Linked DNA regions of Mus musculus. The protein of the gene in region 1 purifies or fractionates together with the protein of each later gene. This does not show direct contact. Links are inferred from orthologs where the notes say so. Each region holds a gene or a part of one and is shown on either strand. Other genes may lie near its edges.

The links.
Region 2: the proteins of Micall2 (region 1) and Rab8a purify together in Homo sapiens (co-immunoprecipitation; 3 studies listed by BioGRID and IntAct, with this or other methods). This does not show direct contact. The link is inferred for Mus musculus from reciprocal best matches to the Homo sapiens genes MICALL2 and RAB8A.

Annotation. Positions count from the first base shown.
Region 1 is NC_000071.6:139,733,474-139,737,809, forward strand, and holds the start of Micall2 (MICAL-like protein 2), read right to left. Parts: upstream 2,861-4,336; 5' UTR 2,688-2,860; coding exon 2,545-2,687; intron 1-2,544. UniProt on the Homo sapiens protein: Effector of small Rab GTPases which is involved in junctional complexes assembly through the regulation of cell adhesion molecules transport to the plasma membrane and actin cytoskeleton reorganization.
Region 2 is NC_000074.6:72,174,568-72,178,375, forward strand, and holds part of Rab8a (ras-related protein Rab-8A), read left to right. Parts: coding exon 1-36; intron 37-1,272; coding exon 1,273-1,362; intron 1,363-1,755; coding exon 1,756-1,821; intron 1,822-3,052; coding exon 3,053-3,103; intron 3,104-3,808. UniProt on the Homo sapiens protein: The small GTPases Rab are key regulators of intracellular membrane trafficking, from the formation of transport vesicles to their fusion with membranes.

The DNA.
Region 1 (4,336 bases):
TGAGTCCTGCAGATCCAAAGCAGGTCATCGGATTTGGAGGCAAGCCCCTTTACCCACTGAGCCATCTCACCAGTCCATGCTGGGGGCTTTTAATACTTGGATTCACATGGTCTAAGTTGATCCTCCTGTACTCAGGCACGATTTACACCAGTGCTTCTAACCCTTCCTAACACAGTGGCCCTTTAATACAGTTGCTGCTGTTGTGGTGACCCACAACCATAGAATTATTTTGTTGCTACTTCATAACTATAGTTTTGCTACTGTTAATGAATCTTATCTGTGTTTTCCAATGGTCTCAGACAACCCCTGTAAAAGGGTCATTTGACACACACCCTAACCCCCACCAAGAAGATTGCAACCCACAGGCTGAGTGAGAACCACTGCTTTACAATCTCATCAGTGTGATTCTTGCCAAAATCCCTACGCTCTTTCCACCACTGCTATTACACAATCCACACCCAGGGCTACCTGTCCTCAGATTCCCAAAGGCCAGGGATCCAGTGTGAAGGTGTAGCAGTGACATACTTGCTACAGGACAGAGGGTCTTATCCCTCCCAGCTTCTGAAAGCCCCAGGGTGTCCCTTGTCTCCACCTCTGGACTTCCTACTTCTGTCACCTTCAAACTCCTTCCAAATGCACACAAGCTCCTACCAAACTTCTACATCTACTGAGCCCACAAGGCAGGCCCTTATCTGTAGGGCTCCAGCTACATTGTAACCACCTCCAGGTTGCCATACCGGGTTAACTAAGAGACTTGAGCTATCAGTCCAGCTGGGGAGACCGCAAGGAAGTCAGCAGTGTGAGATAACCCTCCCAGAGTGAACTGAGCAGGCACCTCTTCGTCCAGCCTCCTTCCTGTCACCAACTCTTGGTTCCCTGTTCCCTGTCATTACCTTGAACTTCTGTCTCTGAGACCAGAAGTTGCTCCCTGCACTAGATGACCTTATGCTGTATACAGTAGGCACTCATTAGATAAGTGAGCAAATCTTTAACACTTGCCTGTGCCAGCATATACATGCACACACAAGTAAACATACAAGTATAAATAAACATATATCTCTTCGTGTACACCTCTCCTCCTCTGTGGGGACTACATGTCAGGCCATGAGCACACATAGTCCCTGCTTCGGAGCAGAGGAAACCCCATGTCTGCAAAGGCCCTGTCCCTGTCCAATTACCAGCTGAGGCTAATCCAGCCAAAATCCAACATCATCGTCTCCTCCACTTGAGAACTCGTCACATAGTTCTCATCTGAGCTCCCCACTCTGCATCATCATCCAGACTCCCCCTGCACCACCGGAAGAAACCTGACTACCCACGTTCTCATCCCAAGTCCATTTTCCAAGGTCTACATCCTTGGCCCAGCATCCATCGAAGCTCAGCTTCCTGGTTTCCACATGACTGATGCCCCACTGAGCTCACACCATCCATCTCCCTGAGAGTGACTGAGGCTCATGCCATGGGGCCCTCCCAAGCAGCTCGGGGGTTGGGGTGGGGAATTCATAACCACAGGGCAGAAGCCTACTTCTTGCTCAAGATTCCGGCTTCCTGAGCAGAGCAAAGCTTGGCACAAGGGAGTCTGATAGCACCAGGCCTGGCTCTTCCTGACACATTGTGTAACACGAACAATATTTGTTTGTTTTTCCTTTTCGGAGCCTCAGTTTCCCCATCTGCACAGCAAGAAGGCTGGCTGAGGTGGGCTCCACAGGTGCTGCCTGGAGCCTCACTCAGCCCTAAGACCTCCCTGGGAAACACTCCCAGACCAGCCAACTCTGCATTTATGTACCATGTACAGGAGAATGCTTTCCTCTGAAGGGCATGGGCTGTAGGTGATCTTGTCCCATTTCAGGACTCTGGTCACCAGACTAACTTAGGTCCCTGTAACAGAGTCTGCCTAAGTGTTTGCTAAGTGAATAACTGATAGAACAGTTTGAGTTGTGGGCCAAGGTCCTTCAACAAGACAGAGCTGGCTTGCTTCCCAACTTCCTATGCCAAGACTCTTCTTCTATAGAAGGCTTTAGACCCAATCCCTGTCCTCTCCTACAACTTCCAAGGATGATGGCCCAGACTCCATTGTCTCCTGTCATTCTAAGGTGCTAAAAGGCTTGCGCTTCCCTCTTTGATTGCTTTCCCAAAGATGCCTAGACAAATTAGAGGAGGGGCAGTAATCCCACTAGAAGCCTCAAATGGCCCTGATCTTGGGGCCAGACCTCAGACCCCCAGGAGCTGTTCCTTTGCCCTTTCTCAGGGAGCTCGGGGAAGGCGGACGCTGCCCTGAGTCACCACTGACTAAGCCGGCTGGACAGCCCATGTCCTGGCCCCTGGCCCAGCTGCACTTGGTGGCCTGCACAGAGGCTACTTGACTGCCACAGCCTTGGAGACCACCAAATAGGCTGTACCTGCAGGTCTCTGCTCTACCCCGGGTGGCCCATCTGAGAGGGGTGTGTCTGAAACCTCCGACCCGGATCCCAAGGCAGGCGTGGCCTCAGTTTCCCGTTTGCAGCGGCACATCAGAGCCCGACAGAGGGGTTAAAGAGCACTCACATAAGGTCAGGCCGGTGTCGGTGCAAGATAGCGCAGAAGGCCAGGCCATCGCGGAACGAGGTGGTCATGTTGGTGATGCTCACGTCCCGGTAGCCCTCGCACTGCTGCCGGCACCATTCTTGCAGGGCCTTTATGGCGGCCATATGGGCGGCAGGACGGGCTGGCGGCTCGAGGAGCTGGCTACAGGCCCCTCTTGGGCCCGAGACGCGCAGGAGGCCCGGACCCGCCGACCACCAGCCGGGCTGGAAGAAGAGAACACCGGGAGACCGGCGCCCCACACACTCTTGACGCCTGCGAGGCCGCCGGCCCCGCCCCCTAGAGGCCCCGCCTCTTCAGACCCGCCCCCACAAGATCACGCCTCTTGAAGGCCTGGCTCACCAGCTCCAAGCTCCACACAGGCTCCTTGTTCCGGCCGCACCGCCCCAGTTTGGTCAGGCCACACCCACGCCCCACAAAGGGCACGCCCACATAAGACCACGCCCCCTCTTTCCTGGGACTTGAAGAATAGGGGCCCGGTACTCTGGGCGTTGGCTCCCGCCTTGGCCTTTAGCCATAACTCCCAGCAGAGGCGTCGGGGTTTTCTTTTTTTGTTTTCCTTGAGACCGGGACCAATGTAGCTCGCATTGGCCTCTAGCTTATTATAAAAGCAAAGATGACCTTGTGTTTCAGATTCCCCAGCCTCCACCTCCTTTACTGCTCTCGGATTACAGGCTTGTGCCCCACACCATGCCTGGTTTGTGCAGTGCTGGGTATGGACCCTGAGGCTTCCTGCATGCCAGGCAAGCATACCACCAGCTGAGCTACACTCCCAGCTACGGTTTTCTTTCTTACTTTTAATTCTATCTTATGCATATGGGCTTTGGTCTGAAAGTGTATCTGCACCCCTTGTGTGTCTGGTAGCCCGGGAGACCTGAAGAAGGCCCCTGCTCTTCTAGAATCGGAGTTGGAGCGGGTTGTGCTGCCATGTGGGTGCTGGAAACTAAACCCCAGGACTTCTGGAAGAGCAGCAAATGCTCTTAACGACTGACCCATCTCTCCAGTCCAAACCCGCAACAGCGTTCTTTTATTTTATTTTATTTTTTAAAGTTGAGGCCAAGCTGCCTAGTCTGCCTAACTCATCCTCCTGCCTCAGCCTCTAGAGTTGGCAGCCTGTTGACAAATGGGAAAACAGAGGCTAGGGTAGATGCAACCTCTGAGGAGTGTCCCTTTTCAGGGTCTACAAAGCTGTCTGGTTGGAAGCTGGGGTGGACCTTGCTGAGTAGTGTGCTTTCCCATCAGACAGATACTGGTCGTGATGGCACACACCTGGAATCCCAGCCCTCAGCGGGGAGAAGCTGGAAGATCAGAAATCCAAGCTTATCCCAGGATACATATGGGGTGCAAGGCTGACATGGGCGACCTGAGACCCTGTCTCAAACTTTAAAATACTGTCTGCTTTCCCTTCACCCTCAAGGGTGCCAAGCCAGCCAGAATAACCGCTCTACATTCACAGAGGAGGAAAGGAAGGCTGAGGGGGCACGCTCCAGGGGTCTTGAGACAGGAGACTCTTAGCCTCTTTCAAGTCTCTGAGGATGCCAGGGGTGATTAAGGAAAGTACCTCTCCCAGGTCCTCAGTTAGAGCCAGGGGCTGCCCTGAATGTTCTTTTGTTGTTTTGTTTTGTTTCTGAGACAGAATTTCTCTGTGTAGCCCTGGCTATCCTGGAACTCACTCTGTAGACCAGGCTGGCCTCGAACTCACAGAGAACCACCTGCTTCTTCCTCAAGTGCTGGAATTAAAGGTGTGCGCCACCTC
Region 2 (3,808 bases), on another chromosome or scaffold:
GACAACATCCGGAATTGGATTCGGAACATTGAAGAGGTGAGTGTACCCTTTTGCTTCCTCTCCTGGGCTGTGACTCGGAGCCAGGAACCTGGGAGACAGGTAGAGAGAGAGGAATAGGACCAAGACCCCTGCTGTCCACCTGAAATCATCATTGGCCCACAAGCCACACAGTGCTATTTGGCTGCTCTTACAATCATTTCTGTTTGGGGTCACATGAGCATTTGGTCCAAACATTTTGAGCTGCTGTGCAACAGGGTATGAGCCTGTCCAAGTCCACATTTGGGACAACAGGTAGTCATAGAATGAGACCCTGAATTATAAAGGGATAAAGAGGCAGCCAGTCCAGCCTACCCTCCCAAAGCCAACTTTGTCCTCTGTCCAGGTGCTAGCCACACCTATTCCCTCCCTGGCCAGCTCCACCTATAGCCCTGATGACTAAGCAGGTGGGGCATTGGATCTAAGGTGTCAAGAACTTCACCTGTCTACAAAACCACAAAGGAGCACTTTTCGCTCTGGACCCAAGACTGGTGGGCACCCAGGCCAGGCAGAGACGAAATTGAGAGCTTTGAGCTTGTGTTGGGACCAGGCCTTTGCCCTGGCTGTAGAAGTCATCTTGGTCAAAAGAGGAGTTCTGATTTTGGCTTTGGGGATACCCTGAGTGATCCTCTGGCAGACAGGAGGTATGACAGGGAGCAAAGAATGAGTTTCCCCTACAGCAGAGCTGCTCTCTGATATTCTCTCCTTTGGGAAGCATGGTCTCTTCTACAGAGGAGCTGCTGGAGGGACTGATGAGGGACCCATCTCTAGGAGAGCAGTCAGAGCTGAGCCAAGCCTGGGTGTTCAGCAAGAACTTAGCAGGAAGTCTTGCCTGTTCTAGGCACAGCCTTGTTTCTAGAATGTATAGAGAAGAGAAAGTTGAAAGATCCAAGCCGGCATTGGGACTTAAGCTGGCAAGTTGTTCAGTGGATAAAGGCACTTGCCAGCAAGCCTGATATACTCAGTTCAATTCCTAGAACCCAGATCATGGAACCCAGATGTAGCATGGTGTGTGCATGGGATGGCTCACAAGCTAACATGGAACTGCTCTAGAGGGCGTGGATAAGGTCTCTGAGCATCTGCTCTGGGAGTCATGCCTCTGGAGCCTAGTGACCATGATCTGTGCAAGCCATTTGCACAGTCAAGAAGTGTTCAACCACTAGGGACATGAGCTGCCAGCCACCAAGCAGTCCACACCCTGCCCTCCACGTTGACCCTGATCTGCCCTCTTCTCAGCATGCCTCTGCAGACGTGGAGAAGATGATACTGGGGAATAAGTGTGATGTGAATGACAAGAGACAGGTGTCCAAGGAACGGGGAGAAAAGGTAGGTGTTGCCCTCGTGATCGTTTTCAGCTTGGGTGCTTCTTCCTAGTCTTTTTGCCATCCTGACTTGCCTGAGATAGAGAGATCCTTGTGAGGTGATAACCCTAGGCAAGACAGAGCTTCCTCGTGGCTAGCAATGAGAGCTTGGCAGTGAACTCTTATCTTGTCACCAGAACCAAGCAAGGCCAGGCACAGCTGGCATCACAGCAGGGAACAGAGCTGGCTTAGGCTATGCCACATTCCTCTCCTCTGCACCCTCCCCACGTGGTGTGCAGTACCATCACACAGTGAAGGTAACACCCTTAGCTTGAGTATGGTAGCAGCCCATCCCAGTTTCCATTCCTTAGGAAACAATGGGAGTCCACACTGTGTTCATGTGTCGCCTTCATTACAGCTGGCACTCGACTATGGGATCAAGTTCATGGAGACCAGTGCAAAGGCCAACATCAATGTGGAGAATGTGAGTCCAGTCAGATCCTGCAGGGAGCCATGGGCTTGTGGGATCAGTGCTCCAGGGCTGGAGGGGCTTTCCTTTGGGAGATTCAGCCTGGAGTATCCAGAGGGATTGGCCTCTGGCTCAGGATGCCCTCTGTCAGGCACTCAAGACACAGTCTCACTAGCTCAGCAAATGAGGGAAATCAAAGCTCAGATTCCAGTACCTAGTACCCACTACCTACACCCAGCTGTGTTCCTCTCAGCCACACTATTAATTCACATCCCCAGTGAGGATCCAGGTCCCAGTGCTGTGCCCTCATCCTTATGTTGTCCCCAAGGCAGTGCCAGCCTGGCACCTGGCCCTCAGCTTTTCTCACACAGCCCTAGTGACACTCAAAAACAGACCTGCAGAGCTACCTGTAATCTCAGCACTCAGGAGGCTGAGGCAGGATTGCTGAGACCAGCCTGGGCTACACATCAAGACTGGGGGCGGGGGCTAAATCGCTCACATCACTCCACAAAGTACCCAGAGGACGGTGGCCAAGGCCTTTGTCCTGTTCAATTCCCTTCACTCCTACTCCTCCCATAAGCCACTTGGGCCTGCCCTCCCCAGCCTTTGCTACACTCCTTTCCTGCCATCAGATTCTTGTTCCCCTGTCCAGGCCAGCCCATCTCCATGCACTCTCCCCTGGCCCCACTTTCCAGGTCTCCAACACTGCATGGAGATGCTAAATCCAACCTACCTCAGATTGTCCCCTCCATGGGACAGCAGTCATTTGCAAACTGGAATTTGTAGCTGTTCTTTAAAGAGAGGAGGAACCAGGCTTGATAGTGATGCCTGTTGTCCCAGTACTTTGGAGGTGGAGGCAGAAGAAACAGGAGATTTAAGGTCATGTTCAGCTACAGATGTCTAAGGCTAACCTAGACTCTCTAAAATTAAAATTAAAAAAAGGAATTGGCATGGACAGAACATAGCCATGGATAGATAATCCTTCCAGACCCTTCTGAACCAGTTAACCACGCAATACCTTTGGGCAAATCACATGGTCTATGAGCCTCATGTCATCAAGGGCCAACTGAGAATAATGCCTGCTCGCATTCACAGGATTGTTGGTTTGGGGGAAGGCCTTTGTTCCAAGGTGCTCTACAGGGGGTGACAGATGGGAGCCTGACTGGGGACAGGAGGCAGACCTCCCTTCCCTCTAGCCAATAACTTCCCACCACTAGAGGGTGCTGACGGCCTGTTCTTTCCACAGGCATTTTTCACTCTTGCCAGGGATATCAAAGCAAAAATGGACAAAAAATTGGTGAGTCCAAGTCCTTCCTCCATGTGGGGTTCTGTAGGATGCAGCCACCCTTGACTGGGACAGCACATCACTGCCCAGACCTGCCATCCTAGTGAGAGTGTGTGTGTGTGTGTGTGTGTGTGTGTGTCAGTCTGCATGTGTGTACATGCGCAAATGGCAGCCAGAAGTCAGTGTCAGTGTGCTCTTCATTCAGTTCCCACCTTAGCTTTTGAGACAAGATCTCTGATTGGACAGTGAACCTCGGGCCCTTCTGTCTCTCCTACCCTGACACTGGGATTATAAGTACCACCACCCTGGCTTGGTCTTTGTTCAGTTTTTTTACAGTATTATCTTATTGGCTTTTTCATAGTATGAATGTTTTGCCTGCATGAATGTCTGCACCAAATGCATGATTAGTGCACTCAGAGGCCAGAGAGACTGATAGGAACAGAGGTACAGATAGGAACTACCATGTCATTCTGGGAATTGAACCCAGGTCCTCTGGAAAAGCAGCCAGTGCTCTAAACAGCTCTTCAACGCTTATTTATTTATTTATCTGTTTGTTTGTTTGTTTATTTGTTTTTATTTAGAGTCTCCCTTTTGGGGCAGGGAGGACACATGTATGCTGGTACCTCAGAGGCATGGGATCCCTGTAGCTGAAGTCACAGATAGTTGTAAGCTGTACCTCATGGGTGCTGGAAATCAAGCCCAGGTCCTCTGCAAAAG